Oreochromis niloticus: one gene and its partners. The protein of the gene in region 1 binds, or shares a complex with, the protein of each later gene. Links are inferred from orthologs where the notes say so. Each region holds a gene or a part of one and is shown in the gene's direction. Other genes may lie near its edges. The genes, in order: eif3d, eif3i, eif3jb and eif3s6ip.

Region 1 (7,592 bases):
TTATAAAGAATCAGGATTTATGAAGAGGTCAAAACCATAAATATGGTATAAAGATGCCTTTTAATTCTGTAAAGTTTGGCATTTGTTTTAAATTCTGTCCTGTCTGACAGCTTTTGCAATCAGATTTGTGATCTGAGTGCACGGTGGTGCCAAACACATTTTGCTTTCCTAAGAACAGCTATATAAAATCTGCTTGTTCGGGTGTTTCTTTCTTTTATTTATTCATTTTTATTCATGTTATTTCAGTTATTACATTATCTGTGGGATGATATGATGTCTAAGGGAGGACATTAGAAGATGTTTTTGTACTCTGTTTTCCAGTTGCTTGGTCCAAACCTGTAAAACGGGCTCAGCAAGACTTGTAGATATTTTCAAGAAAGAAAGTTAAAGATTTACTTTTTCGCTTTTAAATTTTCAGGATGTTTAGTTTTATAATTGTCTCATACCTTCTGCAGCTGTGAAGCAGCGTGGTGTGAGGTGGATGTCAGTATCAGGTGGAGTTGCTGCGCTGGCTCCTCTCACTGGGTCCAGCTTGATTTATTAATCAAGTGCTGGAGGTTGCAGCAGATCGTCATTACTATTGTGATGAACATTGTGCTGTTACCTGTTGTTTGCAATCATCTGCCTGTAATAATCCCGTCTCTCCTCGCCTCTCCCGGTTTCCTGCTCCCAGCTGTCTTGGAAACTGCCCTCCTTCGGAAACACACTCGGCTGCTGCCTGTGGAGCAAACTTGCCCACTTCATCACTTGTTCTCTGTAACCTGTCAAAGAAAGGAATCACCTGCTCCCCAGCCTACCCACGCTCTGCCTGTTCTCCTTACTAACTTCTGATTTGCCTCCAGCCACCCACAGACCCCCCTCCACGACTCCATTCTCCAACAACACAAATAAGACTGACACAGTTTATCAAACTCAGCTCTACAAACAATATTCCTCATCTGCAGTTCCGTTAGCTCCCTGTCTCACTCGGGCAGACCTCCTGTGTTTTGACACTTATGTTGCACAACGTTGACACCTCCAGCCTGCTAGTTTTTTTCACTATTCATTTTTTACCAATAAATGTCTTAAACTTGCTAACTTGTAACAGCTGTATGGCAGCTTTCTTGAGAAACTGGAATACGTTCTTTTCTATCCATCCATCAATCATCATCTTCGGGTCATGATGGCAGCAGGCTTAACAAGGTTTCCCAGATATCCTTCTTCTCAGCAACGCTTTCCAGTTCCCCTTGAAGGATCCTGAGGCCTTCCACAGGCCATTCAACACATATCATTTCTCCTGGGTTCTCCTTCCAGTTGGTCATGGCTGGAAAACCTCCAGAGGGAAGCATCCTGGAAACATCCTAATCAAACGCCTGAGCCATTGCAGCACGCTCCCTTTGACGGGAAGGACCAGCAACTCTTCTCTGAGCTCCCTCCAGATGTTTGACCTTCTCACCGTGACCTTGCGCTTTCAGTCACTACCCAAAGCTCGGGAGCATAGGTGAGGGTTGGAACATAGATCTAAAATTGAAAGCTTTGCCTTCCTCACACTCCAGTTTCCCATTCTTTTGTGAACAAAATCCGAAGAGTTTTAAACTCTCTTCCTTGGTGCAACTTTTCCCTGATCTGGGGGAGCGGTCCAGCTGCTTTACATGTTTAAATTCTACTTGAAAAAACTGAGAAACAAGCATTTTTCATTAAACTGAAGTTGCCAGTAAACTGTATATGCCTGGCACTTGATTTTCCTGCGGTGGCCCTTGGTAAAACTGAGTCTGACACCATGGGTTTAGAACAAAGTGGTGTGACAGATGTTGCTGCTACTGTAGAATTGCAAAGAAACATCAAGTCTGACAAAAATACACCTCTGCGTCAGACGGCGGCCGTGTTGTTCCTTTCCACCTGCTAGCAAAACACCCTCTGCGTGAGAGTGTAAAAGATATTCTTTTTGGTTTACAGAAATAATTCATACATCCATCAAGATACATAATAAAATCACTTAGTACACACTGTGCTGACCATCTGTTGTCAGCGCCGCTCCAGAAATCCCGGAAGGACGACTGTGGGCATGTTTGATATGACTCACCGCCCAGCTGCTGGGAGATAATCAACACACAAAACAAGGAAAATGGCAGAGTTCACTGTGGTGCTGTGTCTGTTGTCTACACAGTGAGAATCTGTGGTTTTGTTCGAGCTCGACTAAACGACAGGGACGAGAATGCAGATGTGGAGAAAGACTTGCAGATATGCAAAGATGGCAGCATTATTCATCACCCAACTGATCCCTGAGCAGCAGGAAGGGCTGACGCTGCTGCAGGAGAATTCATTTTCTCTCTGCCAAATTGACAACAGTCGCGCACACAGACTCCTTTTTGTGTTTTAATCAGATTTCCTGACCTTTGCGCTGCATGAGTAACATCTTAATTGGATCGGGGATTCGTTTAGAAGCCCCTCTCGAGGCCTCTGAGGTGATGTGCGTCTGATTTACATTTCCAAAGCACTTTTGACAGAACGTGTATGAGATTAAGCTCTAATTACTTGCATAAAGCAGCATTAAAAAGACAAAATGAAACACGGTGGACTGACAATAAATGGAGCCTGTATGAATCTTGTATCTGCTGAGAAAACAAGGAGAGACAAAAGAAAAAGAAACATGCTCAGAAAGCAAACCTGTTTTCCTCTAAGGTGAACTTTGCTCCAGTTACTACAGTTGAGTCCATATAGTCCAACACGGTGAGCTACACCCTCACAGGCCATCTCAGAAATGGCAAAAAGAAGAGGAGACAACACACAAAAAGGAAAGAAAACAACCACTTACACATGGCAAGGTTCAGTAACCAGCACTTTATATGGAAAGCAACAGCAAGAGCTTGGATGAGGGACACTTTCTGCAGAATGGGGAAACCCAATAATGTGTCCAGGTGTTACTCATGCAGATTAACAAATCCTCCAGTCCAGCCTGCAACACACAACACGCACACACCTGTAGTTCTCAGGTGGCAAACAGTGTTGTTTTTGCTGCAGGTTCACGTGCAGCTCCCAACAAATGTGACTGCACAGTGTGGTGATGCATACTGCTCCGGAGTAATCTGTAAACATGACATATTGATCTGCAGAACGATTTTGAATCCTCTGAATGATTTTTCTAAGGTGGCTGTCTGCTGTTCTTTTCTGCAAAGCTCTGACGGGCATCTATCTCCTTTGTGACTTTCAGGAATTTCAGTAGTAGTAACTGTTGGCTGACGTTAATCAGCTCCAGTTGTGCTCATTTTTAGTCGTCGCTGGTTCAGTTGCACAAAGAACTTCGACAAAAAGGCTGAGAAACACCATTGCTCATGGCTGCTTTCAAAGGCTCAATTTATATTCAAACACAGGAGTTTATTTAAATCACGTCAAAAAATGTAATTTAATCTGCAAGCTATCAGATAAGTGCAGTGCAGTAAATGTGCATGCAGTGATGTATAAACTGGCATAAAATGCAAATAAAAGAACCTCAAAACCGAGTTTGTTGTCCCAGTAACCAAACCCTATGACACCCTCAGGATGGATGGATGGATGGATGAATAGATGGGTTTACCAGGATTCTGCCACTGACTGAACAAAAATTAACATACAAAAAAATTATCAGATAAAAATGACCACTTTCCTGTTTAAACGGCTTAACATAATTAATAATTTAATACTCATTCTATGCTTTTTAGAAAGTATAGGTGTTTTAGGTTGTGAATATTGGATGTAATTTGTAGTTTCAAACGTATTTCTACACATCGACTTAAGAAAACATAATATTCACCTCATTTAGTTTGTTTGGTTGTTTGTTTTTTGATATTTTCACGGCTGTTTAAATGTTTTATTTTGAAAAATGTGCCCGGAGCTGTAAATATATTTTGGACGTTTGTGGAGACCATGGGCGATCACAATGTAAAGTGCCCTCCTGTTGTCAAAGTGTGGAATTGCAGCACGGTTTTGACAAGAAAAGTTGTTAACTAGTTGTTAAAATCAAAATTTCTGAGTGATTGTTGTTGTGATTATTGAAAAACACGGCCACTGTTGACAAACCGCAGTATTTAAGTCTTTTTTGGAAACATGTTTTGATTGTGTCGTTGACCGTTAACAGGAACACATGTCCCATCGCTTGAAGTTGCTACCCTCTAGCGGTGACACCGCCGAACTGCACCACATAACAGCTGCCAAGTTAGAAGTGATAAAATAGCCTCACATCCGATGCGTTCTTTCAAAACAAAAAGACATGTAACTAGCGCAAAGGGATTTAAAAAAAATCTGGCTAAAAATAGGCTAAAAAAAATATAGTGATATGCAAAATTATACAACATACAAAGATCTACAGTATATCTGTATGACTGATTGTTGCATTTCTCTGTAACAATATAGCAAAATAAACTTAATAGGGTAGAATTTGAAAATAGCATTTCAAAAGACCATTCAGCCTTTCATTTGCTCTTTGGCCTAATTTTTAATATTTTTAATTATTAAAATTACACACATTAACTTGTATATTTTTTTAATCTTTTTCATGTAATCTGAAAATAGCAGTGATTTTATTTTTTTATGGAACGCTCATTTCAGACGACGGTAAAAACTGACGTACTACGCCGGCTGCTGCTGTAACACAGCAGGAAACACTGCGCTTTACGGCACTTCGCACTTCCTTTCATACCGGCGCTGTGTTGGGGCAGAGCAGCGTCAGAGCAACGACTGGATTAAAAGACTCCATATACTGACACAGAATTAACGGTAAGAGCAGAGAAAGCACGCACAGACGTGTGAAAAGCGCCTGTTTTTAGCAACGTTTTCAGTCAAATATCAGAGATTTGTGTTTACGCGCGTGACGCCCTCCACCCGGTTAGCTTAGCATTGCTAGCATGACCACCTGGCGGTGCCTAGTGTTAGCATTAGCCACGATGAGCTAACGGTGCAGAAAAAGCGTTTCAGTGCTGCTCTATTTCTTTTAAATAATTACACTGGCTGATCTCAAGTTAGCAACTGTATGTTTAGTCTCAGTATATCTAGTTTTTAATCAGCGATTGTTACCAATTGGCTGCAAAAAGCCCGTAAAGAACCCATTTATTCGTTTTTATTATCACAAATCTAAAAGATCAAATCAAACGATAGATAATGTTCTTGGACGTCCTAATGGTTGAAATCTTAGAATCGTAAATGTACCAGCAGTGAGGACCGATCATTACTTTATGTTGCAAACTTTAATGCAGCATCACTGGATGATGAAATGATCCACGTCAGGCCTACTGCGCACTCAATCTGCTTTGGAGATTGTCTTGATTGGTCTTTGTTCGTCGGTCTTAAAAGACACCGAGTTAGTAGGGGATGTTTTATTTTATCCACAGAGCGGTTCTTTGTTGGTGGGAGCATGCCAGATGTTATCGTGAAGGGCGTTCCCTCAACATAGAACCGGTTCCTTTACTCTGGTTTTTGAACTGTACCACTTAAACCTTACAAAGTAATATTTGACCCAGTTGTGGCCCACATTTAGGCTTGACCCTAGATAAGTATGTTTACATGAATGCAACCTCAGATCCATCTAAAATGGCCCAGATGTCCCACATGTGGGTCACTCATCATTTAAACCAGTAAAATACTGGCTTTGTGGCCTGTGGTTCATGTCTGGGGGTATGCAGCATTTGCTGTGTTGTAACTAAGCCTTGAGTGTCAAAAGTAGACCAGATTTCTACAGGTCAACCTGACCTGCACTAAAATAATTTGGGGTGCATCCACACGCATTCATCTTTGGTTAAAAGCCCTTCTGTTTCGATTTTGTTTTATTGTAATCACAAATCCGGCACCGCAGTATAGAAAGCCCACGCCCCCCTGCTGATTTAATTATAGAGTAACACAGACACCCTCCACCCACGTTAATAGCTGACAAAGGTGTTGGTTACATGCTTAGGCAACAGCTTAGACCATAGGATCCCAAGTGGTGTACCGCAGGATCCTATGTTAATCATACAGCTGCAATGACTGATTCACGAGCTATGTCAGTACTTTTTAGGCACTCATGTACCGTATTCTCTTTCTGTTTTTGTCAAAGGGATCCAAAATCTCTTTGTTGATAGATGGTAGGAAATATTACAGGGTGACACATTAAAAGCACTGAAACCACAACTAACCATCAGTTAGATCCACCACCTAAAGAAAAGAGAAATGTGGGAAGAAACTATCCCAAAGACTTCCTTATATTAGCTAATTATGCAGGAAATAAATGAAATAATAAAGCGAACAGGGTAATTGTTGTAAAGAAAATACTTATTGCAATTATTCCATTTTAACAATCAGTGGAAGCCAAGATTGTAACTAAAACTAAAATTTGTTTAACTGAAGAATCCCGTCACTGTTTAAATATGTTGTATTACAGCCATAAATCATAGAGTTGACTTTCAGGGGTCAGTGATGACTAGCCCACTGCGCAAGCTGATCAATGCCTGTTTCTTTTAGTGCATTGCTGAAGAAATCAGTGCTGCTCATTGCCTGAGACCCTGTATGTGTAATATCAGTCAGCTAGACCCAGAGGGTTTTTAATGTTTGGTCTCAGGTCTGATGTCTTTTTCCCTTTTCCCTCTGTCTTTAGGCCATGGCGAAGTTCCACGCCCCTGTGATCCAGGACAACCCGTCCGGCTGGGGTCCTTGTGCGGTCCCAGAGAAATTCAAAGACATGCCCTACCAGCCGTTCAGCAAAGGAGATCGTCTGGGAAAGGTTTGTGTTCAGTTCTGCTCGGAAAAAGGGAAAAAAGTTTTCCTGAGTTTAGTGCTGTGCAATATGACCAAAATCTCATATCCTGATATAAGAATTCTATCGTCCTGATAACGATAAAAATCACAAAAATGCAACATTTCCTGTAAATTCTGTGAATCTCGGGCAGCTCGACTTGTGTGAAGTGTTTCCAGCTGGGCGTTGTGTACCTGGAGTCGAGTGTTTTAACCGATGCATGAAACGATACATTTTTAGACATAAGTTGTAACAGCCGCCGTTTTCTTTGTGAGTATTTATTACACGGCGTGCTGCGGGGAAAAGTCTGTTCTAACGTTTGAGTCTAAGGTTTATTTTTTAGCACCTGACGGCTCTTTTTGCTTCTCATCCGTAAACTCTCTGCATACCCTTTCATGTGATTCAGTTTATTTTGAAAAGTCTCAACAGGATCTTGAGCTTTATTGTGAAAGGTTTATGTGGAAATAAACAAGCGGACACGCAATGGTTTTACCATCGTTGTTGCTAACGACTACGCATAAAAACAGGCGCTTGTCCGTCCGTAGTGTGGTTATATTAAATATAAAAGAAAGAGAGAACTTTAAGAAATTAATATAGCCACTACAGTGACCATCAAAACGATGAAACAATATTGCCGTAAATAGTTTATTTTGCGACACCACGAAACAAATGATAGCATAAAATGAAACGATAGACGTTTTTATATCGTCATCTGATATCTATCGTTACATCAAACAGCTCTACCTGAGTTTGTTTTTTACTTACTTTGTGTGTTTTGGGTCTGACAGGTTGCAGACTGGACTGGAGCTACTTACCAAGACAAGAGATACACAAGTAAGTCACAGCTGTACAAAATCTGCTTCATTTTACATTT
Region 2 (8,008 bases), on another chromosome or scaffold:
TCCAGTCAAACCAAAAGTTTGGTGACTTTGCACATGAACCGTAGAATAACCTGCAAATCTTGTTTTGCAGCAAAGTTACGACATCACAGCTTCATAAGTGGCTCAGTCCAGAGTCCTAACGATGTCACCGCCTTTGGGTCTCTCTTAGGATGTTAAACAGATCCATGCTTACTTGTGTTATGGATACAATAAGCCAAAAATCTCACTAATGTGAATCTTTTCTGTGACAACACGACGATGTTTCAGCTTCCTTACAGCTGAAACTGGAATCTTCTGTTTTTCAATGCACAGATGGCTAAAAATCTGAGAGCACAGTTGCTGTAATTTTGTCCGGATGTGTGTTTGTTCACAGAAAGCTGTTCGGGATCGCGAGTTTGAGGCACTTCAGGGAAAAGTCCAGCGGCTGGAGAAGCTCCGGCGGGCGCTCAAAGTCGAACGGAATGAGCTGAACAAGAAGGTCCAGAGCCTCAGCGGCGGCACAGAGGGAGCCCCCACTTCCAACCCAGGGACTGACTCCCCCTCTCCACCACCTACAGACTCTCTGCTGGAGCCTGGCACCTGCCCTGCCCCTGACACCACCACCGCCTCCACCTCTTCTTGCTCCCACTCCTGCCACTGTGAGCCACAGCTGGACACAGACACCCTGCTGGAAGAGGCAAACACTCAGCCTGTCCAGGCACAGGAATGAAGCAGCACTGCTCACACGTTCTTCAAACCACCCACAGATAAGCCACCAGCCTGCAAGCCACTACTCCTCTGCTGGATGGAGCCCGTGTTAAACACTGGGACGGAAACAAACTGCAAAGTCACACCTTTATGTACGAGGCCAGAATACCAGATCAGCGTTTGACAGAAGGGTTTAGTTGTAATCTCCCAGAATCTTCTGCAAAAGTCTGCTGGTGTAATTACATGCACACTATCACACAGTTACTGTGAATGTATAATGCACTGTAATTTGGTTTTCATGGCTTTTATTAGCATCTATCCAGCGTGATCATCTACAGGAAGCGACTAATCAGCCACGCAAGTTAATATTATTACAATACTTTCAGAAATCACTATAGTCAAAGGATAGTGATCATATTTACAAGTTATTATCTACATATTAATGTCAACATGTGTAAAAATGATCAATGAACAGAAACCCAGGATGACATAAAGGACCACCATAACTACATAAAACCATGCCGTGTAGTCATATTAACACATCTAAATTTGTATATACAAATTATCAAAGCTTTTTTAGCAAATTAAAAGTATATATAAAGCTCGTATGAATAAATTTACATTAACTACATCACTTTGTTCATTCTATTTCCTAAGATCCAGAGCCAGTTTTTATCATTCTGACTCTTCATTTCTAACTCTCGAGTTTGTTCCCCTTATTTTGAAGTTTGCCATATTCTTCCTTTCTGTTTCTGAACTCACACATGTACTCCTGTACTCAGTACTCAGTAAGTTTATTTCCTGCTTTAAATCACACCATGAGAGTTCCAGAAACATCTCTATCCATATTTAACATATTGATTATAATAGCATCTTTGAAATAATCTTCAGAGCCTTAATATTGCCCTTAGACTGTATGTAAACAGTGGCCACCCTTTGGTTTCTAAGTCACATTTAAAAGCCTCAAATTTAGTGTTTTGGCCGTGACTGTGTTGGATTTTCAAAGTCAGAAGTGACCTTTCATCTTTGTACAAGAAGGTGGAAATATTAAATTAACAGCTAATATTAATTAGCTTGGTTAGCGAGATGCATTCATAAATTGTAGGGGTGCGAAGCAAAGGCACACATGCCTGCAACAGATTAAAATAGTAGAATTTCAAACTAGATTACAAACTAATTTCATTTAATAAAATCCTCCAGAAGGTCCCAGCAGCACAGACATGGTGGAGCTGTCCAGCTCAGTGACTTGAATTAGCTGACCTAGCAAACAGCGATTAACTACAGCTCCCTGTGTCGGTCAGAGCAGGCGTTGATTCACATGGATAACAGGTTGTCATGGTGGTGTTATGAAGGGATTTGTTGTCCCGGGCTGGAAACGTGTTTATTCAAGTTTAAGGAGGAATTGCAGTTTCTGGCACTTTGTGTGTTCACATTTTTCAGGCCCAGAGGTTTTTGTCGCATCATCTTCAGATCTCATCATGTTTTTTTGACAGTTAATAAATAGTATTTTATTAGCTGAAAACTCCAAAATATATGTCCGTATTAACCTCATTACTAGTGTGCATGTAATTCCACCGACCGCCTCTGTTTTGTGCTGTTTTGCTACACCTCCGGTCCAGTCGGCCCGGCAACAACAGCAACACTGCTGTGTGCGATGAAGCCAACCTGCTTTATGGTGTCAAGAGTCAGAGGCTGAATGGTGTGTGTCCAGTTAGTCTGCTTCAGTTTGCACGCTGATTGTCAGTGTTTATCCTAAAACCCACTTTATGTGTTTCTTTCAAGTGAAGTCTTAACAGCAGCATCAGGCACAATATTTTTAGCAGGTTCCAGTCATAAAAGAAGAAAATCAATCATTTTCTTGAATTTTTCGGTCCTGAAATTTGAGTCCCACTTATTAAAGCGTCATACTGATCTTTAAAATGGCAATTTTATGGCAGTTAAGCATGTTATCTTTGAAAATTAAGGCAGCACATCACTGATGTGACAGCAGATTAATATCAGCCACTGATCGACGAATCATTTTACTTGTCAATATTCCAATATCGTTGCATTCCTGAACTTTTGGTCCGTCTGCATTGTTGGAAGATGAATCTCTGTCATTGAAATGTGGAAATCTGGCAGAGCACGCTGTACTCGCCATTAGTTTAGAGCATTTCTAAAGAGTTTTAGTTTTATGTCTTCAGTTGCTTTTTGCTAATTTTGTTTGGGTTTGTCACTCTGCAGTAATGACCTCTTTAAACTCCATGGTTGTCTGGTGTGTGTATGGTGAGTGTGTGTGATAGAAGTACTTTGTAATCCAGTTTTTCCAGTTGAATGTTCAAAGACCTCTATGCAACGCTCGTGTCTTGGTTTTATTCTATGGCAGTCTGATCTGACAAGCACTCAGCTGAGAATGTATTTGCATTATATCCACTGTCCTGCATGGATGTGCTGTACCACACATGACATCTCACCGAGGAACACACACACACATATATATTTGTTTTTCCTTTTGGCCCACACTTGAGCTACACCGGATTGTTTCGACGTTGAGCGTAATGTTGTGAATCTCTTGAAAGATGCACCGACTGAGCCGATGTGAATACAGATGGAAAAGTTAGACCGCCTCTTAATGGACCATTGAACACGTGTCTTCTGACATTCTTGTGTACTACGTAATATGTAGCACTGGGAACAGAGTGACGACTCATTTTCATCTGATATCGCAATGACAAACCTAATCTCTTCCATTGTCCCGTAGGACAGATTCATTCCTGTCCCACAGTGGACTGGGAGGTTCATTAACCATGAGAAGGAACCAAAGATGTTTCTGTTTTTGTTGGGTTTTTTGGTCTTTTGCAGTACTTTTCTCTGGCTCTGTATATTTTGTTTCTTGTTAAATAAAAGAACTGACTTAGCTTTGACTTTCTAGACTCAAGCTTTTATCTGATGCTTCTATAAATATTTGGTCAGTGATGCTTGTGTTTTGAGCATGTGTGTAATTTTGCCTCAGTTACAGCACCACGGTGGATATTAAGTTGAGGTGGATTTCCAAAAATGCCGCATTAACTGTTCAGGAAATCCAGACATTTTTCGACACTGTGCCTCATTTTCAGAGTGTCAGAAGTCCGTGGACTTTCAGACCTTTAAGATCGGGGATGTCAAAGACGTTTTACATCATTGACCACATATGGCCCAATTTGAACTTTTAAGGGGCCGGCCCGGTGAAGCTCCCCATACTATAAGCGGGAAAAGAAGTTGAATTAAATGTTTAATCCCAGAGTGATCTAATTATAAGGAAATGATGTGCAATTTAAATAGTACCTCTCAGGTTTTCCTGCATGATAGAGAAATGTTACTGTAGTAAAGTAATCTGTCAACAAAACTCTTTGGGTCTAAACTGTAAGGAATGAATGCGCTGCAGAAAAAATGTTCTGTTAGCTCATTGCTGAGACTGACCTGTATTTATCAAACACGAGGTTTTTATATTATTTTCAGAAAATTGCTGAGTTTTTTGCTACAAAGTTAAAAAAAACCCATGAATTTCTATAGTAGATACTACAAAAAAAAAAAAGAACTTTTCTGTCATTTAATTGTTTACTGTTACTTTATTATGTTGGTGTAGTATGAACTGCAATAGGGGAGGCCTTTATCAACAGGAAAACCTGTAAAGTTTATTTTTTTTAAAAAGTACTTAAAAGTCCAAAATTTATGCTCTCCTTCGCATTTTGCAAAGATGTCCAGCCGTCCGAATTGAAGTCTTTGCTGGGCCGTTTCTGGCCCCCGGACTATTTTTGGCACATGTGTTATAGGCGCTGAGCTGACCAGTGAGTTTGTTTTCATTCAAATTGTTCATTTAACCACACTTACACTTTTTGCAAAGTCTCTGATAGGTTTATTTATTTATTTATTTATGTATTATTTTTAACCTAATGATCATTTCCCCCACCTTCATCTACAAGTTATTGGACCTGGTATTGAATTATTATATATATAAAACTGGTTTTATGTGTTTTTATGTTCAACATGGAAATGGATCAAAATGAAATGAAAATTGAGGAAAAGACAAAGGGAAAATTATACATGTGGAAAGAAGTTAAAATGATATACTGTTATAAATTACCGCTATCTGTAGCAATATATACACTGTTTATAGTATGGGTGAAAAAGAATTTAATCAGACTGGAGCCAAAATATCAATAACATTTTCAGAAAATAATCTCGAACACATATGGAGACAAATATGTTGGAATAATTGTGTTTAAAAAAGATAAACAAGAGGGGTTTTTTAAGGATTTCCTTTATAACTATTATTTTTAACTATTAAGCGTAACTCTACTCTCCAGAGCAGGAGGTGGCGGCAATGCGCTCGAATGCGATTTCCCCATCCGCCAAGAGAAGAAGAACATTTCCTCTTCCGCCGCGGCTCCGGCGCCTGAAACACGAGTGTTCATCATTTCTCTTTCCACGGGAGGAACGGCGACAATACTGGACTTGCTGCCGACACTTAGCTGACAAAAATGGTTAGTGTGCTTCTTGGTAAATGGTTCTTGATGCTAATCGTTTTCGAATGAAGCGGTTTGTTGATACCAGGATCGCCTCCAGCTTAGCTAGCGTAACTGCTGGTGCTACCGTTAGCTTAGCTCGAAAATTAGCCAGCTACAGCTTATATTTGAGCTAGTGTTAGCTGGGTGTAGCTAAAAGAGGTTGCGCCGGCCTGTGGTGGTTGCTACAAGTGAAAAGCTGTTTTCCCTTTTTCTTCTTTGCCATTTTCTGTCGTTCGCTGTTTTGTCAAACATTTTAACGTTAATAGTTGTTTCGTCATCGTAGAGTCCTCCGCATTGTTTCCCCTTTGAAAACAGGGCGACCTGCTGATTTAAAATCAATGCTGGTGTTGTTCACAGAAACCGATCCTGCTCCAGGGCCACGAGAGGTCCATCACTCAGATCAAGTACAACAGAGAAGGAGACTTGCTATTCTCTGTAGCTAAAGACACGGTGGGTTCATAACAGCCAAGTTCACTGATCCATTGTTTGTTTGCAGCTGGCTAACTCGTTGACCATCTCTCTCTACAGGTAACTAATGTATGGTACTCGGTCAATGGCGAGAGGCTTGGTACCTACAACGGACACACAGGAGCTGTGTGGTGTGTGGACTGTGACTGTATCCTTATTTTTCTGGAAAAAATGCTTGGAAATGTTGCTTTATAGCAAACGGATGTAGTTTAGGATTGTAATGTATTGATTGTGCATGCTCAATCATCCAGGTAAGGAAATCCAACTAAAGTAATTCTGTTCATCTTAAAAACATGAGCTGAGGTGGTCTTAGATATGTGACATCGAGATGAACAGAGCAAACTTTCTGGGATGAGTTTGTAATCCTGTGATAGTGTCTGTGCTGAGAATACGCATGTTTGGATCCTTAACTTGTCTTCTCTCAGGGGACACTAAAAATGTGCTAACAGGATCAGCAGATAACAGCTGTCGGTTGTGGGACTGCGAGACTGGTAGGTTGAAAACAAGTTAATCATTTTTCTTTCACTAGCTTTGCATGATTTCAAACTAATCCTCATGTGTGGTATACTGGGCTTTGCTCTGCCCCCTCAGTTGATCTTCTGTCTCAGACTGGCTGTTTTAGCTCCTTTCATTTTATGTGTAACTATATTCTTATTGGCTGCTTCTTGCAAACAAAAGATTTGAACAAGGGGTGGGTGGGGCTTCTGTGCTCACAGCCTGAGATGGCCATATTAAAAAAATCTGTTTTCAATGACATCATATAGAGCCAAGGGTAGAAAAAACTGAGGGTTTTGTGGGGATTATTTGTCATTTTAAATTTTGTCTGAGTTTAATAAAAGCATCGACCATTGTAACAGTGTATGTATAAGAGAATAAGGAAAAACAATGTATCCACTTTAATGCCATTTTTGCAGCATCGTCTGAACCACTCAGGTATGAGACATCTCTAACCGCAAGTAGTTTGTTCTACAGTGTCATAAAGCCCACTGTGTGTCGTCCACAGGTAAACAGCTGGCTCTGCTCAACACCAACTCTGCTGTCCGAACGTGCGGCTTCGACTTCAGCGGCAACATCATCATGTTCTCCACAGACAAGCAGATGGGTTACCAGTGTTTCCTGAACTTCTTTGACCTGCGGGATCCACAGCAGATAGGTGCATATACACAGTGTTAGCAGTCATGTTGATCTTTAAAGAAAAAGGGCTACGAGACTAAAGAGTCACACATCAGAAGAGGTGCTTTGAAGCCACCATTGGGCACATTTTCCTCCATAGACCAGTGTGAAGTAACTCATCTTTATCTCAGTTTTATATGTATTTAGAGAGAGTTTTACTGTATCAGTGGAATTATTGTCGTACATGCAGATTATGGCTCATGTCAGTGGTATAAAGTTGTAATTTTTTTCTCTCTTCTCTCTGCAGAGGACAACCAGCCCTACCTGACTGTACCTTGCAGTGACCACAAGATCACCAGTGCTGTGTGGGGACCACTGGGAGAATTTGTCATCGCCGGCCATGAGAACGGGGAGATCAACCAGTTTAGCGCCAAGGTTTGTGTCACACACTGGGAACATGTGGGAGTGTATTAAACAGGCAACATAGAAAGCCAAGTGCTAACTACACATAGCTCACAGTGCTACAAAAATGTGACCTCTTCACCTTTCCCTTGTTTTCTGTATATGCTGTTACCATGGTGATTGCTCATATTAAACATGACCAGAATTTCATATGACATTGGAGTATGTACAAGGAGTCATTATAAGCCAGACTGCTCCAAACAGTTTCACACCATCTTCTTTTCCTACCTTGGCCCTGTGTGATGTCAGAGAGGGCGTCCTTGTATGGTTATCTCACACATGCAAGAGGCAGCTTATCAGGTCAGAAATGGCTTAAAGGGAGCGGAGCCAAAACGGCTTGTTTCAGACAGGATGAACTGATGAGGTCCACTGTAACATAAAATGAACAAGGCTTACTTTGAATGGTTGAAGTGCACGAATAAAAATCCGGGGGTTGAAACAAGAAAAAAAAGAATCCCGCTTCAAAGCGTCACGTTGAAACGTGCTTCATGTTTTGGACAGTCCGGAGAGATCCTGAAGAAGGCCAAGGAGCACACCAAGCAGATCAACGACATCCAGACATCAGTGGATCTGACGATGTTCATCTCTGCCTCCAAGGACAACACTGCTAAGGTAAGCCTTTAAACACAACCTCCCTGATCAGGTCACTGTTGTACGTTTGCTTTAATGTCACATGCAGATGTCTGTGATGCTGTTACTGAGTGTTGGTCATCTTCCTCATGTTCTTGTAGTTGTTTGACTCGACTTCTCTGGATCACATCAAGACATTTAAG
Region 3 (7,315 bases), on another chromosome or scaffold:
GATGGCTGCAGTAAGGCGGTTCTCAGGCTGGGTCGGCTCAGGCTGTCCTGCTCAGAGGAGCAGCTGCAAGCTCTTGTTGAACTGCTAACCCACAGCCTCGCTTTTGGACTCATGAGTTCCTGGGGCACCGATGTGTTCATTGAGATCGGAGTCCTGGCAGGTATTGTCTATTCATTGTCTTTGCCACATGAATTTTAGATGTACTATGCATAGTCCTACATCTGCCTTAATGTGTGGTCAGGTCAGAGATTTAAATCAAAGACATTTTGTTTTCCTCTATGCTTTGCTGTAAAAGCATTTGATTCATTGATTCTAGCACCCTTTGCTCTGTTTCACTGGAACATTTTGCTTGTTTTTCAGTGGGTATCCCAGACATGGCCATGTCAGCGCTGGTAAAAGAGCAAATTGAGGGAATTGCACCTTTGGCTATCTCAATGATGCCACAAGAAAAGTTTGCTGTGAGTCAAGATTTAATTAAACCAACCATATCATGGGTGTTAAACATAAGGCACGGGGGCCAGAAATGAACCAACAAAGACTCCAATCCGGCCAACTGGACGGCTTTAGAAAATGTGAAGGAGGAAATATTATTTTGGACTTTTAAATGTGTTGTAATAACTTTTACAGCATTTCCTGCTAATGACAAACTCTCCCACAGCAATCCATACTACACCACAGTATATTATGTCAGAGATTAAACTGGTAGTAAACCTTCTTGTCACTGACAGAAAGATTAGTTTCACTGGTCAGGGCCCATTATTGTAATACCAAGGTGAGCTAAACTACACTTAGATATGTGTAAAAAGTACATAATTTTTAGTAACATTTGTTTCTTACAATAAAAAAAATGTATTCCTGTTTTTGCGTCCATCTTGACAAATCTTTATCATGTCTTTAATTTATCTCTCTAAATAAATCCCACCCGCCGTGTTTTTTTTGTTGTTTTCAAAAGGTGGTATTCTCCCAGGAAAAGATTGCCATGTTCTCCTACGAGCAGGCTGTTGCAGTAACTGATAACCAGCGCTCTGTTCTGTCAGACCTCCAGAAAACAGCTCTAGCTATGGTGCTGACACCCTGGGACGATAAGCCTGTAGACTTCAGAGGTAAAACCTGAATCAGTGCTGTCCACTGATGACCATTAAACTTGATTTGTCTTCTTTATGCATTAATCGCTTTATCTGATGAAAATATAATCGCCCTTATCAAAACTCTAACCAAAGTTTTATGCTAGTTTAGGTACATCTTGCTAGTATCAGGTTGGATCCACTTTTGCCTTCAGAACTGCCTTATTTCTTAATTCCTCTGAGATTTTGCTCCATATTGACATGATAGCATCATACAGCTGCTCCAGATCTGCAGACTGCACAATCTCCTGTTCCACCACATCCCAAAGGTGCTTCATTGGATTGAGATCTGGTGTCTGTGGAGGGTGTCTTAGTGCAGTGAGCTCATTGTCATGCTCAAGAAACCAGTTTGAGATGATTTCAGCTTTGTGACATGGTGCATTACCCCGCTGGAACCAGCCATCGGAAGATGGATACACTGTGGTCATAATGGGGTGAACATGACACATCAACAACAATACTCAGGTAGGTGTGCTTAGCTGGTACTAACCTGCCCAAAGTGTGCTACGGAAATATATCTATCACACCATTGGATGACCCCGTGTGAATTTTAGCCTCAGTTTTCTGCTCCTGTTGCCCATTTTTCCACACACTTTGAGCCGCTTAGTACCATGTGAGGATCATTTAAACACCACAGTCTGACTGAGTATTGTTGCTCATTACATCCATCCCATTATGACCACAGTGTACAATCTTCTGATGGCAGCTTCCAGCAGGAGGAGGTCACCAGCTCTCAATCCAGTAGAACACCACTGAGATGTGGTAAAGCTGGAGAGTCGCGTTATGGATGTGCAGCTAACAAATCTGCAGCAACTGTGTGATGCTATCATGTCAGTATAGACCAAAATCTGTGAGGAATTAAGAATTAAGGCAGTTCTGAAGGCAAAAGGGGACCAAACCAGTACTAGCAAGCTACACCTAATAAAGTGACCCGTGAGTGTATAAATTATTACTGTAATTTGACTCCCAAAATCAAGGCTGACGATAGCTGCTGTTGTTTCCTTGCTGGTTTCAGCACTTTATTCTCATTGTACTTGTAGATGTTTCCAGTGTGCTTTCTTTTCTAACATTATCTAACATATGAACATTATGCCTTGCTAGATATGCTATGCATGGATACTCTAGGTGTGGAGAGAGTGCCTACCGTGATATGAATCTGCCTGAACTATATTTTTGCATAGCTCTACATTTGTAATGCTTTTGCTGAATTCCTGCAGGGAGGTCACTGGGGTTGGCGTTGAGCCACAGCCCCCTGTGTCTCTTATCGGGACTGCTGATGCTGCTGACCGTCCTGCTCTGCCCTGACACATGACCTCGTTCACCCCAGCCGAATCAGGAGACCCCCTCTTCTACATGATGATTGTCTGTCTGCACAATGCTGTATTTCTTTGAAATAAACAGCATTTAAAGCTTTCCATACTCTTTTTAGCAACACTGTAATTGATCTTGTATAACTATTACTTTAGCATCAACATTTAGCAGTGAAAGAACAAAGTTTGAGAGAGTAAGAGCTGTTTGTTTTAATCAGCAAATCTATCTAATACCCACAGATCCTAGACTATTTATTTATTTTTGTACAAACCTATCTAAACACTTTACTTTCCCATATATATCCTTCTCAGGGATGCCATACCTAGAAATAATACTTAAAAATGATAAAGGTTAAAATATAATTGTTGTGCAGTTATTACGAAAGAAATCTGTTGCAAATGTACAAAGTTATTTATTTTTGGGGAACTATAGATTTATGTGAGTAATAGTGATAACACTTTCTATATATCTGTCTATTTTGAGTTATCTTGATTACAAAACAATACCTAGTAGGGCCTGATTGTACTAGTATTGATCAACTTTGGTCTGTTGTTGCTGTGAGTTTTGTACTGTTGTGCACACTTTGTGGTGTGATTAAAATGACTCTAAATGATCAATAAACTGAACCAATCTACCTCTGATTGGCTCTTTTTATTGCTTGTTATTGTTGTAGTTTTACCCACAGCTCTGTTCACCATTCAAAAAGCATTTGACACTACAGATGACAGATTACTAAAGATAAAGCTGGAGATAACGGTATCAAAGGGGTGGCACATTCCTGGTTAAATAGTTACCACACTGATAGATACCACTGTGTGCAAATAAATAATAACTCTGGTTTCATTGTGAGGTTTTTTTTCTGTTTATACCGTAGGAAAAAAAGGTTTGGAATAGCTTCTGAATGTAGTTGAAATTATCAATAAATCACAGCTATCATATTCAGTAACAGGCAAATAAGGAATGAAGTCAAAATTATGATCACTGATGATGAAACAGAAAGAGTGTATGAAACTAGATTTTTTGCAATGGGTAACTGGATACTAATCACATTTGCAAGGGTCGTATAAAGAATTCCTTTTCTTCTTTCGGTTGCCTCGTTTAGGGGTCGTACATCACTCTTATTTTTAAAAATGGGTGCTAGTACACTTCTTCTCCATCCCCCAGGGATCCTCTCACTCTCTAATCTGGTCCACTGCCCCCTCTCCCGGATGTCTCCTCCACAGTTATGTCATCTGGACCAACTGCCTTTTCACTCTTCATCCTATTTATAGTTTTCCTTGCTTCCTCATTCACTGCCCTCCATCCATCCTCAACTTTCTTTCATTTTCGTCATTCATGAGCTCCTCAAAGTAGCCTTTCCACTCTCTCAGTAAACTTTATTCATTACTACATTTCCATCTCTATCCTCAGTCACCCTAACCCGCTGCACATCCTTTCCAGCTCGACCTTGATCCTTCAAAAATATTATTTATTTTAATATATCACTGAGGAATTATTGATCACCATTTCCATTTCAATTCCCATTAATATCATACATCTGAGGTACTGCACTTTCTCGACAAGAATGATTAAAAAACAATTTTTAATGTATATACTTTATTATACTCCCTTATGAGATTCAGTTAAATTAAGGCTATTAATTAATTATTTTTTCTTCGGTTAAAATAATATGTAGTGTATCCAAATGTATCCAAAAGAGATTAAGAATAGGTTTTGACTCTTTATGTAAGAATGATGTAAAATGTACTTTTAACACATTTATTTTACAATGCTCGACTTAAAAATGCGTGGAACTTGGCTTCAGCTTGCTTGTAGCGTCTCATGTTTACAATTGAAATAAATAAAGGCGTGATGAGATTAGTTGTATCGGGGTCGTTGTGCTGAAAGTGCTCCGTGGACGTTAGATAAGGCCGGAGTGCCGCCCAGAAGGTGGGAGCTGTTTCTGAACGTGGCCAACGGGCTGCAGCACTGACTGTACAGCGAGCCTGTCAAACACAAGCAACACAGCCAACATGGCGGACTGGGGTGAGAAACTAAGTTGGGAAGGATGGCTATCTGTACAACATTTACTTGTCGCACTCGCTGTTTTAAGGGCCTAATACACCTCTCATTGTTAACTCCAGGTGTCAGATGTGGACTGACCTAACGACTCTCATGTTGTTGTTTTTACAGACGCTGACAACTTCGAGCCGGAGGAACCGATTAAAAAGGCGGCAGCGCTGGACAAATGGGAAGGCGAGGACGAAGATGAAGATGTTAAGGTAAAATATCGTGACGAACACTCGGTATAGTCTGAGCCGCTTTTTAAAATCTGCCACCGGTTGTTTGCGAGCTGTTAGCTGACCGAGCAAGCGACAGGATGTAATGCCACGCTTCGTCGTGGTTTCTCGCCGCCTGTCAGTCCGAACCTCCGAACCCCTGTTAGCTTATGCTAACTCATGTGGCTCCAACAAGCAGCCTCTGGAAACTCTAGCTCAGCTAACAGTATGCTGGTATTCGAGTTTCAGTCATTCAAACGTACTGTTAACAAACTGAATAACGGCGTGCCAGTTCATACTTATAGGTTTAATCAAATTTTTGGACGCTAGTAGTGTTTTCTACTTCTCTTGGCGTCATGAATTTTGATAGCGGTGCTTGAAGCTAATCTCTCACCGGACGGGCCACTTGAGCTAGCTAGTCTGCTAGCTCTCGTGTATTGTTGCGTCTGTAAATAGGCTTTAATGTTGGGTGACCTCAGTATTGAGTGATTTGTTCATGTGTTGCTAATATACAGGTCCATCCCATTATTGCACAGATTTAGTTGCATTAAACGATTATTGGAGATTAGCATAATTATGTCTACTCTGGCAAACCCACAGCTTGAGTCACGTTGAGTATGAGGCGGCGTTAGCGTGCTAACCAACTTTAGCCCCATTCAGATGAAATCATCCACTGGGTTGATGACTCAACTCAGCCAAGAACTAGGCCTGGAACTTTCCGACTTTACAGCAGGCAGTAGGAAGCCGCTGTTCAGCTGATACCGTAATACAGGTAGCTGCTACGTGAAAACTGGCACGGTCTCTGTCCAGAAGCCTCAGATAATTGATCCTGTGGAAAGTGCTGGCAGAGGCCTCTTCAGTTCTCCCGTTTTCTGTCGCATATGGCGTCCAGACTGAAGAGCCTGATGGTTTTATGTCCTCTGTAGTACAAAATGGTCATTGTTTAGGAAGAAGGGTTAAGATTTTTGTGGAAATCAGACAATAGCACAAAGTTAATTTTTACTCAAGATAATTAAATTTATTTCCAGAGCTGCTGTTGTTGTTGTTCATAACCTGCTGGAAATGCAACAGGCCGGTTGTCAAATGTTTATTGTGTAGTAATTCACAGTTTAAAGTCTTGGATATTTCAGTTAGAAATTAGTATCTTCTTGGATTGGATTACATTTATTTGTAGTGACACTTAAGGTGGATCTTAATATAAGACAGCAATCTACAGGATCACAACCCCAGTGATGTCTGAAGAGTCATCACCTATAAATTAATAAATTAACACTGATGTCATAACTCGTAACTCATTGTCATGAATTACAGAATCTTAAACTTTAATGTTGTTATATTTTTTGATTCTTAATCACTGTTTAATATATACAAGTTCTGCATTATTACACAGTATTAAGCACTCACTGTGTGCATGTGGTACTTTCAGTTTTTTAATGTAGACTGTACTATTTTTATTCTTTATCCTGGTACCGTAACACAGTAATTACCCTTGTTGGATCAGTAACGTTGATCGATCCAGCTTATATACATCTACGCCAGTGTAATCAGGACTAGAATAATTTGAACTAGAGGTAGAACAAAAGTTATTCATCTTCAGAAAATGAAGTGGCAGCTGTTGCATATCGATAAGTGATAATTTTATGTTTTAAAAAGTTTGGATTTTTTGTTATTTTAAAATAAACATTCTGACTGATTGCAGCCTTTGACTTACATTTTTAAAGTTGTCTAGTTCTGTAGGTGTTAAGATGTTGCTCAGAAAAAAAAGAAGACTTTTCAAGGCTTTAGCATGGCTCTGGGAAGCCATATTAATGTGTGTCGTTTGTTTGTTTTTGGTTACATTATACATCTATGTCTATATATTTACATCTTCTAGCTTACATATTAATAAAAAGGCAACAGTTACACACATTATGTTCTGTGTGTTCACAGGACAACTGGGACGATGATGAAGAAGATGAAGAGAAAAAAACAGATGTGAAGAAACCAGGTTTGTATCCCAGTACCGCTTGCCTTTCACTAATGGAGTATACTTGATTACTGAATGATTTTAATTTTCTTATGTCATTATTTTAATTTGCAGAGCCAAAGGTTTCTGAAAAGAAAAAACTTAGTGAAAAGATAAAAGAGAAAGAAAACCGGATGAAGAAGAAACAACAGGAGGCAATGGAACAGCAAGAAGTAAGTCCCACTTTCTCATCTGTAAACCTTTTGACTCTATGCTCGTTTATCTCTAATAATATCTTAACTCTTACATTTTTATTTACAGGAAGAACAGCTCACTCCTGAAGAACAGCTGGCAGAAAAATTAAGAGTGAAGAAATTACAGGAAGACGCAGACTTGGAGCTAGCAAAAGATGCTTTTGGTAAGACCGGATCAGGTGTAGAAACTTTTTATCAAGAACATGAGGTCTTCCACAAAATCAAGTTGTGTAACTGATGCAATACATTTAGTTTGCAATACATTAGTCGCTGTTGCTTGTAGTTAACATTTAACTAAGACTTAAAAGGCTTAAATACTCCTTTGGCTTTTACGTTTTACACAGATGTCCCAGTAATTCAGCTGTAGATGCCACATACTATACCTCACCTCCAAAGGAACAATGCACCATTCTATTATCTGTA
Region 4 (7,650 bases), on another chromosome or scaffold:
ACTGACATCGCAAACAGAGTCATTCAGCGGCCCAGCATCCTGCTAGAAGTCTGCTCTCCAGCACACACAGCATAGTGCCAAGCTCCAGCAAGTTTACAGTGAAGCTCCAAGAACGCAGCATGGAAAAACACAGTTGAAATCATGAAATCAGCCACCCATGAAATCAACCACCCAGACTCAGTTTCAGACATCCGAATATTTATTTCTAAGCCGTTTCAAAGTTGGCCACACTGAAGGAAGTGCAAACAAATAAGATGTGAAAGTGAGGGAGAGGAAGAAACTTCAGAGACTAATGGTGCTTTGAGGGCTTCTTCCTCCTGTGTACACCTAATTGTAGTTAGCTCTCTGCTACAGATCTCTGTGTGTTTTTTGCCTGTGGTGATGGATGGGTGAGGCTGAGGCAGAGCCCCGACACTCCCCTGATGTCTCATTCCAGCCTCTCCGAGTCGACACCATCATCCTGCACAGGAATATGGTGGAGAGTGATGGATGGCCTCTGCCTCAGCTACATGCGGCACAGACTTCCACCCTGAATTATCATAAAAGGAGACTCGTGCAAGTCTGAACACGCATTTTGACTCAAATCAATTTATTGCTCAAATCCCACTCCCGTCTACTTGCAGACATCTGGCGCTCACTTTCTCTGTTTGCCTTTCTCTTTATTTGGCCTCTCGTGATTTTTTTTTTCTTTTGTTCTTTGTGGGATCTCTCTTGGAAGATGCTTTTTGCATCTGCTCTAATAATACAGAAGGTTGGCAAAAGAACAAGAGACAGGCAAGAGAGGGCGAGGCGGGTGGAGTGTAAGGGAAATTTTTTTTCTAAGATCAACCAGCATACAAATCAAATCCTATTACCTCCCCCTGGCTCGACGGCATTGTGGGATTGAATGGGGTATGGAGGAGGCGAACCTCCAGCAGAGAGCGCATTGTAGGCTGATAAGAGCCTTCTGGGCTGGGAGGCCCCTGCTTCCAGCGCCTTGAGAGGCCCCTCACACCACAGCCCCACAGGGTCAATGGGGGCCCCAGCTGAGAGCTGTGGCAAACGTGTTAAATGCCCTTGCCGGGAGTTTCCTGCGTGGATGCTAGGATGCAAAGGGGATCATTAGTTTCCAGCATGGTGGAAAGGGAAGAAAGTGTCAGCCTTTAACCAGCCTACTAACTCAATCAAAGGAAAAAGGGATTTAATTGCTTTGAGAGATGTTAAAAAGAAAAGGAGGTGTTGCAAAAGGCTAGTGGTAGTCATGTGATAAAGAAACCCGCCTCTTTGAGCAGGTGGAAAATTTTAGGAAAGCACTTGGGGGGCAGCAGGGCCCGTGTTAGATCAAAAATTCTACATAAAGATTTGAAAATGAGGCAGCCACTATTCTGTGTGCCCTCATCTTCTCACACACTATTTCATATTTCCATAAACAATGGAAAAAATCGGTCTCATGAATAACCCTGGGCAAATATCTCATATATTTAACTGCCTGTCTGACCTCAAATATGCACAAAATATAACATGAAGACATTTTCTTTTAACCAGTAATGGTCTCTCCTGTATATGTTAAACAATAAGCCATTAATCACTTGCAACCTTCTTTGTAAAAGAAAGTTATACTACTAAAGACAGTCTGATTAGCCCGTGTTGGGAGGTATGGCACACAATATGAAACAAAATTAAACTGAGGCACGCAACAAAGTAGAGAAGTTTCTCGTTCTTACACTCGTCTCCAGAGCACAGCAGATAATGTGTCATATCCAAACAACCACAAACACAGCTACACCCGTGTAACCTTTCTATTAAATGACAGGTAAATGGTATCAACCATGTCACATATAGAGAAATACTCCTCACACTAATTATCTGTAGCCTTGGTCTGTGTGTGTGTTTGTGTGTATCAACTCAGTGAAGCATCTGCCCAGTACAACGCTTCCTCCCACATTCCACAACTCTGTAGTGCCGTCAGGGAGAAAGGATCTCCGACCCTTCACCTGAAGGTTAACAACTCATGGCCATTTGTTTCCAATTGGATACCGAGGCATCTTCTCCAGAACCATAAATACTGGTGCTGGGAGAGGTGGCTGTCACATCAGCCTCTAAATCAAAAGGGGGAGCCTCTGACAATGCACATTCCACTCTCTATTAAGTGTCCTTTACCACTGTACCTGCACTTGATCATGGCCATGAAATTCCCCAGAAGATGCACTTTCTGTCAGAGTTTAATGTAAGATGGAGAGGATGCTGCTGTAAACAATGCCATGTGCTTTAATGCAGAAGATCCCGGCAGCTCAGCCTCTGAAGAGCAACTAGAACAACAGGAGCAAACCAGACAGAAAGGCAGCAGAGCCGAGAAGCTGGCAGGCAGGTTACAGCAGCAAAACCAAACCTGCAAAGGATCTGCTGCACACCAGCCAACTGCTTACAAACCTATAGCCTTTGCTGTGCCAACACTCTGAAAAGCTGTGGCGCTCAGTTTACATGACTGACAAAAAACACAGAGCCATTTTCTCCGTGCACAGCTCTACTTGATGCTCTCTTGAGCTCTAAAATGGATTTCTGCCACATATAAAACATTCAACTAATACAGCCCACTTCTTTTAGAGTGAGATAACCTCAGACTCAGACTTCAGTGTAAGAATGTGGCAGAGTGTAGTAGTAATTGACTTCAAATGCGTCATTATCGGTATTGAATATTTTATTATTTCAGATTCTTAGACTAAATAGATCACAAGAAGCTTGACTTTTAAGAAAAGGGTGCGTAGGAACTATTTCTTTTATATTAAAAATATTTTCCAGATTGTGAATTTTGGAATTTTATTCATAGAAAGCACATGCACATCCTTTCCATTTAAAACATCTTTTACTCATGAAATTGAATGACATTCATTCCGGGAGTTAAGTGCCTCCTCATACCCTGAGAGCGGAGAACTTCTGAACGCCTCCAGCGCACTGTAGACAGAGGAAGACCAGCAGTGGACAGATGCGCATCCTGACGCAGCGTGGTAATATACTCTCCAAATTACGCGCGGTCCAAAATCGTGTTGGTAGGAGTTCACCTAGGCGCAAAACTGTCTATGGGAAAAGTCAAAAATAGTTTAAAATCCGCACCAGTCCTTTCGAAGAAGTCACTGGGGGTCGGTGGTGTATTTCACGTCGTTTCCTTGGTTTCGTCTGCCAGCCCGTTTGTGTAGACACGCTCCTTATTTCTGGCAGTCCGATAAACCCCCCCGTGTCCCTGACCTTTTCCCCTCCCTCGGTGTCTCTTTCTCCCTCTCTTTAACTCAACTTCGTTTCTCCACACCCCCTTTCTGCTACACTTGATTCTGTGGACTAGATCCCTTATCGGATGCAGGCGGTTCCCCAGCCGGTAGTCAGTCAGGTAGGCGTAAGCTTACGCCGTCAGCTGCTGGTAGTTGAGTCAAACACGTCAGGTATTCTTTTCTTTACGTAAGAAAGTGGTGTGAGGATGCTCAACCCCAGTGAAGAGAAAACGCAGGAAGGGGTCAGAAAGTGTCTGCTAGGTGGATCAGCAAATAAATTTTCGTTCTGATGGACGCATACACAATCACATTTAAAGTTTTGATTATACGGCTATATACAATTCTCAAAACAAAGTTAGACAAGCCCCTGAGTTTCACACAATACAGATTAAAAAAACAAGCGGCGCCTAGAATAACAAATATTTTGGCAAAAGTAAAATAATCTAACAATATGTCCCTTTGATCACACATATAAGACAAAATAGCATATTTATTGGCCATATTGTATTAAACCTTTCTCAGCTTTGTAACTATATGCTGTATGAGCACGAACCAGTTTGCAATTTCTTCCCAATAACTCTCCATTCGCCGAGTCCACGGCCACTAGTGCAACGTTTCAGAGCGTCCCACTACGACTATAACGCCACCTAATGGTAGATGATAGTCTTCACAGTCTGCTCAATACACTCCATATGGTCAAATAGCTGTCGGGGATTTCGAAATTCTACACATCAGTTCGGACTTTTGCGTTTGCCAGAACTCTGCGTAACGTATTCTCCACAAGTTTATTTTATTCTCCACGAGAAAAATTAGGCTGAGTTTTCAACATACATTTTTTTGTGCAGGAATCAAAGAAACTTGACAAATAAGAACATAGGGCCTATATCAAATTATATCTGTTCCTCTTGGTTGTTTGTTTTTCAGTACCTGCACAAGAACCCCTTCAGTAGAAAGGTATTTCTCGCCAAGAGTCCGTTTGTTTCCCGAATATATGTTTGGTCAAAACTGGTGTAGCCTAATTAGTATCATTAGACATCTTTACAATACATTATGGTGAGTAAAAAGCACAGCTGTAAACAAATACACAGATGCCGTGTCACGAACAGACACTAGCAAAACAATGAGGTTCATAAAATACATTTATGAAACCCTAATCAGAGCCCTAGCTTGCTCTTGTTCTCAGTTACATAGGTATCATTCCCTACGAGAAACTTAAGAAGAAAAAACGTGGAAAGAAATGGCTATTCGTTTTTAAATTCACCACCCTCTACATCTTTTTTTGTTTGAAATGGCTTTTAGAGGAGACATGCGAAAGTTTGAGAATCGAGTGTTTCTCTTGGTGAACAACAAACTCAATTTCCCACAGTGCTCCAATAACAATGCGTGTCACTCCTACGTCACAGCTACTTCCTTCCGCTTCTTCTCGTCTCTCCACCGCCAGCTGCGTGGTTTAGCGGCGGTAGCTAATTGAGCATACATTCTCCTTTTTCACTCCAGCATCTAAACTAGCTTGAACTAATAGCTAATACAATGTCATACCACGACGAAGAGGATGTAAGTACACATTTACTCCTTCAGACATTTTAACGTTTTGACTACAATAACAATGGCACACTGTTAGCTAGGTAACACACACTGTTAGCTAGGTAGCTGTGTAGCTAGCTCGACTCCACCGGCATAGTATAACAGTGGCTTCAATGAGTTAGTGTGATATAAATTTACTCTTAACCCCTGCTTTAAGAAAATGCAACCTGGACAACTAGCTAATTGTCTGTAACTCTTTTTAGTGCATTTTTATTATTATAAAATATCGCTATATAATCGATCAGTTGGTCGCTTCTCGCTGGGCAGATGTATCAATATCAGATGCTGTATCAGTAACAAATGCCCGATTGCTTTGTTTCCTTACAGTACGATCCTTACTCCTACACAAACGACTACGATCTGCACACTGGTAAGTATACAAATAACCATCCCTTTTATACTCATACTATCAATATTTACAGATACAATCCTCTTGTTTAGTCAGTCAGTGTATAACACACAGACACAAACATACACAACATAAGTAACTTTTAGAGGAGAGTAAAGGATATTCTTTTAATTTTCCTTGCAGGTGACCCTAAAGCAGACCTTGCCTACGAGAGGCAGTATGAGCAGCAGACCTACCATGTCATCCCAGAGGTGATCAAGAACTTTCTGCAGTATTTCCACAAAACCATCTCTGACTTGATTGACCAGAAGGTTTATGAGCTGCAGTCCAACCGGGTGTCTAGTGAGAGCATTGAGCAGAAGATCTACGAGATCCAGGACGTCTATGAAAACAGGTAAAGTTAACTCTGTGCACATAACTCTCACACCGTGTGAGATTAATATGCTGACCTTTTCATGCTCTTGCCCATTCAGCTGGAACAAGTTGACTGACCGTTTCTTCAAGACCTCTCCCTGGCCAGAGGCTGAGGCCATTGCATCACTTGTTGGCAATGGTGAGAGCGTTATCCATTACTTGTTCTACTTTTGATTTTGTATGGATAGTATCATTTTTATTCTTTATTGTTTGAGTGTGATTTAAAAAAAAAAAAGATAAACTTGCACCGCTTAAGATTATTATTATTATTTATTTTGTATATTTAAGATTTTATAAAAGTTTTAGGCCTCCTTTGTGTGGTTCAGTGGAGATGTTTCATGTTGTTTTTGTCTCTTGTGTTTTGCAGATGCCGTGTTTCTCATTCTCTACAAGGAACTCTATTACAGACACATCTACGCTAAAGTCAGCGTGAGTAGCTGCTAAATATGAACAGTTGTCTGGGTCTTTTTTATCAGTGTCCAAAAAACTTTCTAGAATTTGGTTGAAAAAAGTATTTTCTGTATAATCAGGGTGGACCAACTTTGGACCAGAGATTTGAGTCCTACTACAATTACTGCAACCTCTTCAACTACATTCTCAGTAAGTAGCACAAATTGTCCATACATTTTCTCTTACCCGTTGTTGTTAGTGCAAGAACAGCAGCTTAATGAGATCATTGTTGACTCTAAACAGATGCTGATGGGCCGGCCCCCTTGGAGCTGCCAAACCAGTGGCTCTGGGACATCATTGATGAGTTTATCTACCAGGTACATTACAGTGTTTTTAGAGTGCATGCTCAACAATCAATAAGATCAAAATAAAGAAAAGGGCTGATAGCTGTTGTTGTTAATGTTATCATTGCTTTAAGCACCAGATAGGTGACATATTAATGAAGATATTCGTGGTCTTTAATGATCACTAGTCCACGTGGCTAGAAAGCATATTTAAAATCCACTAACAGACATCTCTTCCACCTTCAGTTTCAGTCATTCAGTCAGTACCGCTGTAAGACAGCCAAAAAGTCTGAAGAGGAAATTGAATTCCTGAGGAGCAATCCGAAGATCTGGAACGTCCACAGTGTCCTCAATGTTCTCCACTCCCTGGTGGACAAGAGCAACATCAACCGTCAGCTTGAGGTCTACACGAGTGGAGGTAAAGAACAGTGTTTTTTATGATATTTATAGAAAAGATGGAGTGTTTCTAGAAACCTAATTACTTTAAAATCTTGAATTATGTCAATTTAAGGCTTTAAAATCCAGGATTGTATAGGTCGTGAACATGTTATGTGTTCTTGTAATGCAGGAGACCCAGAAAGCGTGGCTGGAGAATATGGACGTCACTCCCTGTACAAGATGTTGGGTTACTTCAGCTTGGTCGGGCTTTTGAGGCTTCACTCTCTGCTTGGTGACTATTACCAGGCCATCAAAGTCCTGGAGAACATTGAGCTCAATAAGAAGGTACGACCTTATTTAAGACCTCATGTATAGAGAGGTCTGGTCTGCTCCAATGGTGATGATGAGCGCTAGGATTGGGTGTCTATATGGAAATATGTTGTTGTTTCCTCTTGTCCTAGAAGGTTTGATACAATGCTGACAGATACTGATGTTTTTAATTTAAATCAAACAAACGATATTCTCCGAGGATTCTTTTGATAATTTGACTCAGCACAGTTTCTGCTTTATCAGTCTTTATGCTCATGAAATTTAATGTGGGCAAAGTGAAGTTGCAGTAAAAAAGAAGGAACTCATTAATTTACCTGACACATTAACAATGAATAACAATTATGATACTAACATTGTAAAGTAAATACATAATTCAAAGTTCTCAGTTCTTCAGTAGCACAGAGTCAAATAGTTCATTTCATCTCAAAGTTTTTGTTAAATCAACCTTTGTAGCCACAAATAAAAAAGTTTGGTTGATCTGTTGAAATTAAACATTAAAAAAAGAAACTGCTCGTTTGCTCTGTAATTCATATTTCTGCATATTTTCTTTTGCCTGTCTTTCAGAGTATGTACTCGCGTGTTCCAGAGTGCCAAATCACCACATATTACTATGTGGGTT

The links.
Region 2: eif3d (region 1) and eif3i share a complex: the UniProt entries of both Homo sapiens proteins name them as parts of the eukaryotic translation initiation factor 3 (eIF-3) complex. The link is inferred for Oreochromis niloticus from reciprocal best matches to the Homo sapiens genes EIF3D and EIF3I.
Region 3: eif3d (region 1) and eif3jb share a complex: the UniProt entries of both Homo sapiens proteins name them as parts of the eukaryotic translation initiation factor 3 (eIF-3) complex. The link is inferred for Oreochromis niloticus from reciprocal best matches to the Homo sapiens genes EIF3D and EIF3J.
Region 4: eif3d (region 1) and eif3s6ip share a complex: the UniProt entries of both Homo sapiens proteins name them as parts of the eukaryotic translation initiation factor 3 (eIF-3) complex. The link is inferred for Oreochromis niloticus from reciprocal best matches to the Homo sapiens genes EIF3D and EIF3L.

Annotation. Positions count from the first base shown.
Region 1 is NC_031969.2:30,431,892-30,439,483, reverse strand, and holds the start of eif3d (eukaryotic translation initiation factor 3 subunit D), read left to right. Parts: upstream 1-4,577; 5' UTR 4,578-4,731; intron 4,732-6,580; 5' UTR 6,581-6,583; coding exon 6,584-6,706; intron 6,707-7,506; coding exon 7,507-7,552; intron 7,553-7,592. UniProt on the Homo sapiens protein: mRNA cap-binding component of the eukaryotic translation initiation factor 3 (eIF-3) complex, a complex required for several steps in the initiation of protein synthesis of a specialized repertoire of mRNAs.
Region 2 is NC_031985.2:30,543,710-30,551,717, reverse strand, and holds the start of eif3i (eukaryotic translation initiation factor 3 subunit I), read left to right. Parts: upstream 1-5,007; 5' UTR 5,008-5,165; coding exon 5,166-5,168; intron 5,169-5,549; coding exon 5,550-5,642; intron 5,643-5,720; coding exon 5,721-5,808; intron 5,809-6,085; coding exon 6,086-6,151; intron 6,152-6,663; coding exon 6,664-6,813; intron 6,814-7,080; coding exon 7,081-7,208; intron 7,209-7,736; coding exon 7,737-7,847; intron 7,848-7,966; coding exon 7,967-8,008. Other genes in the region: txlna (alpha-taxilin), read left to right, coding at 353-688. UniProt on the Homo sapiens protein: Component of the eukaryotic translation initiation factor 3 (eIF-3) complex, which is required for several steps in the initiation of protein synthesis.
Region 3 is NC_031965.2:18,810,049-18,817,363, reverse strand, and holds the start of eif3jb (eukaryotic translation initiation factor 3 subunit J-B), read left to right. Parts: upstream 1-4,304; 5' UTR 4,305-4,447; coding exon 4,448-4,460; intron 4,461-4,607; coding exon 4,608-4,696; intron 4,697-6,622; coding exon 6,623-6,680; intron 6,681-6,773; coding exon 6,774-6,871; intron 6,872-6,959; coding exon 6,960-7,056; intron 7,057-7,315. Other genes in the region: strc1 (stereocilin), read left to right, coding at 12-160, 361-458, 953-1,103, 2,342-2,436. UniProt on the Homo sapiens protein: Component of the eukaryotic translation initiation factor 3 (eIF-3) complex, which is required for several steps in the initiation of protein synthesis.
Region 4 is NC_031978.2:25,123,366-25,131,015, reverse strand, and holds the start of eif3s6ip (eukaryotic translation initiation factor 3 subunit L), read left to right. Parts: upstream 1-4,635; 5' UTR 4,636-4,772; coding exon 4,773-4,796; intron 4,797-5,153; coding exon 5,154-5,196; intron 5,197-5,358; coding exon 5,359-5,569; intron 5,570-5,648; coding exon 5,649-5,728; intron 5,729-5,956; coding exon 5,957-6,018; intron 6,019-6,119; coding exon 6,120-6,189; intron 6,190-6,282; coding exon 6,283-6,356; intron 6,357-6,569; coding exon 6,570-6,741; intron 6,742-6,891; coding exon 6,892-7,046; intron 7,047-7,595; coding exon 7,596-7,650. Other genes in the region: smoc2 (SPARC-related modular calcium-binding protein 2), read right to left, coding at 2,896-2,970. UniProt on the Homo sapiens protein: Component of the eukaryotic translation initiation factor 3 (eIF-3) complex, which is required for several steps in the initiation of protein synthesis.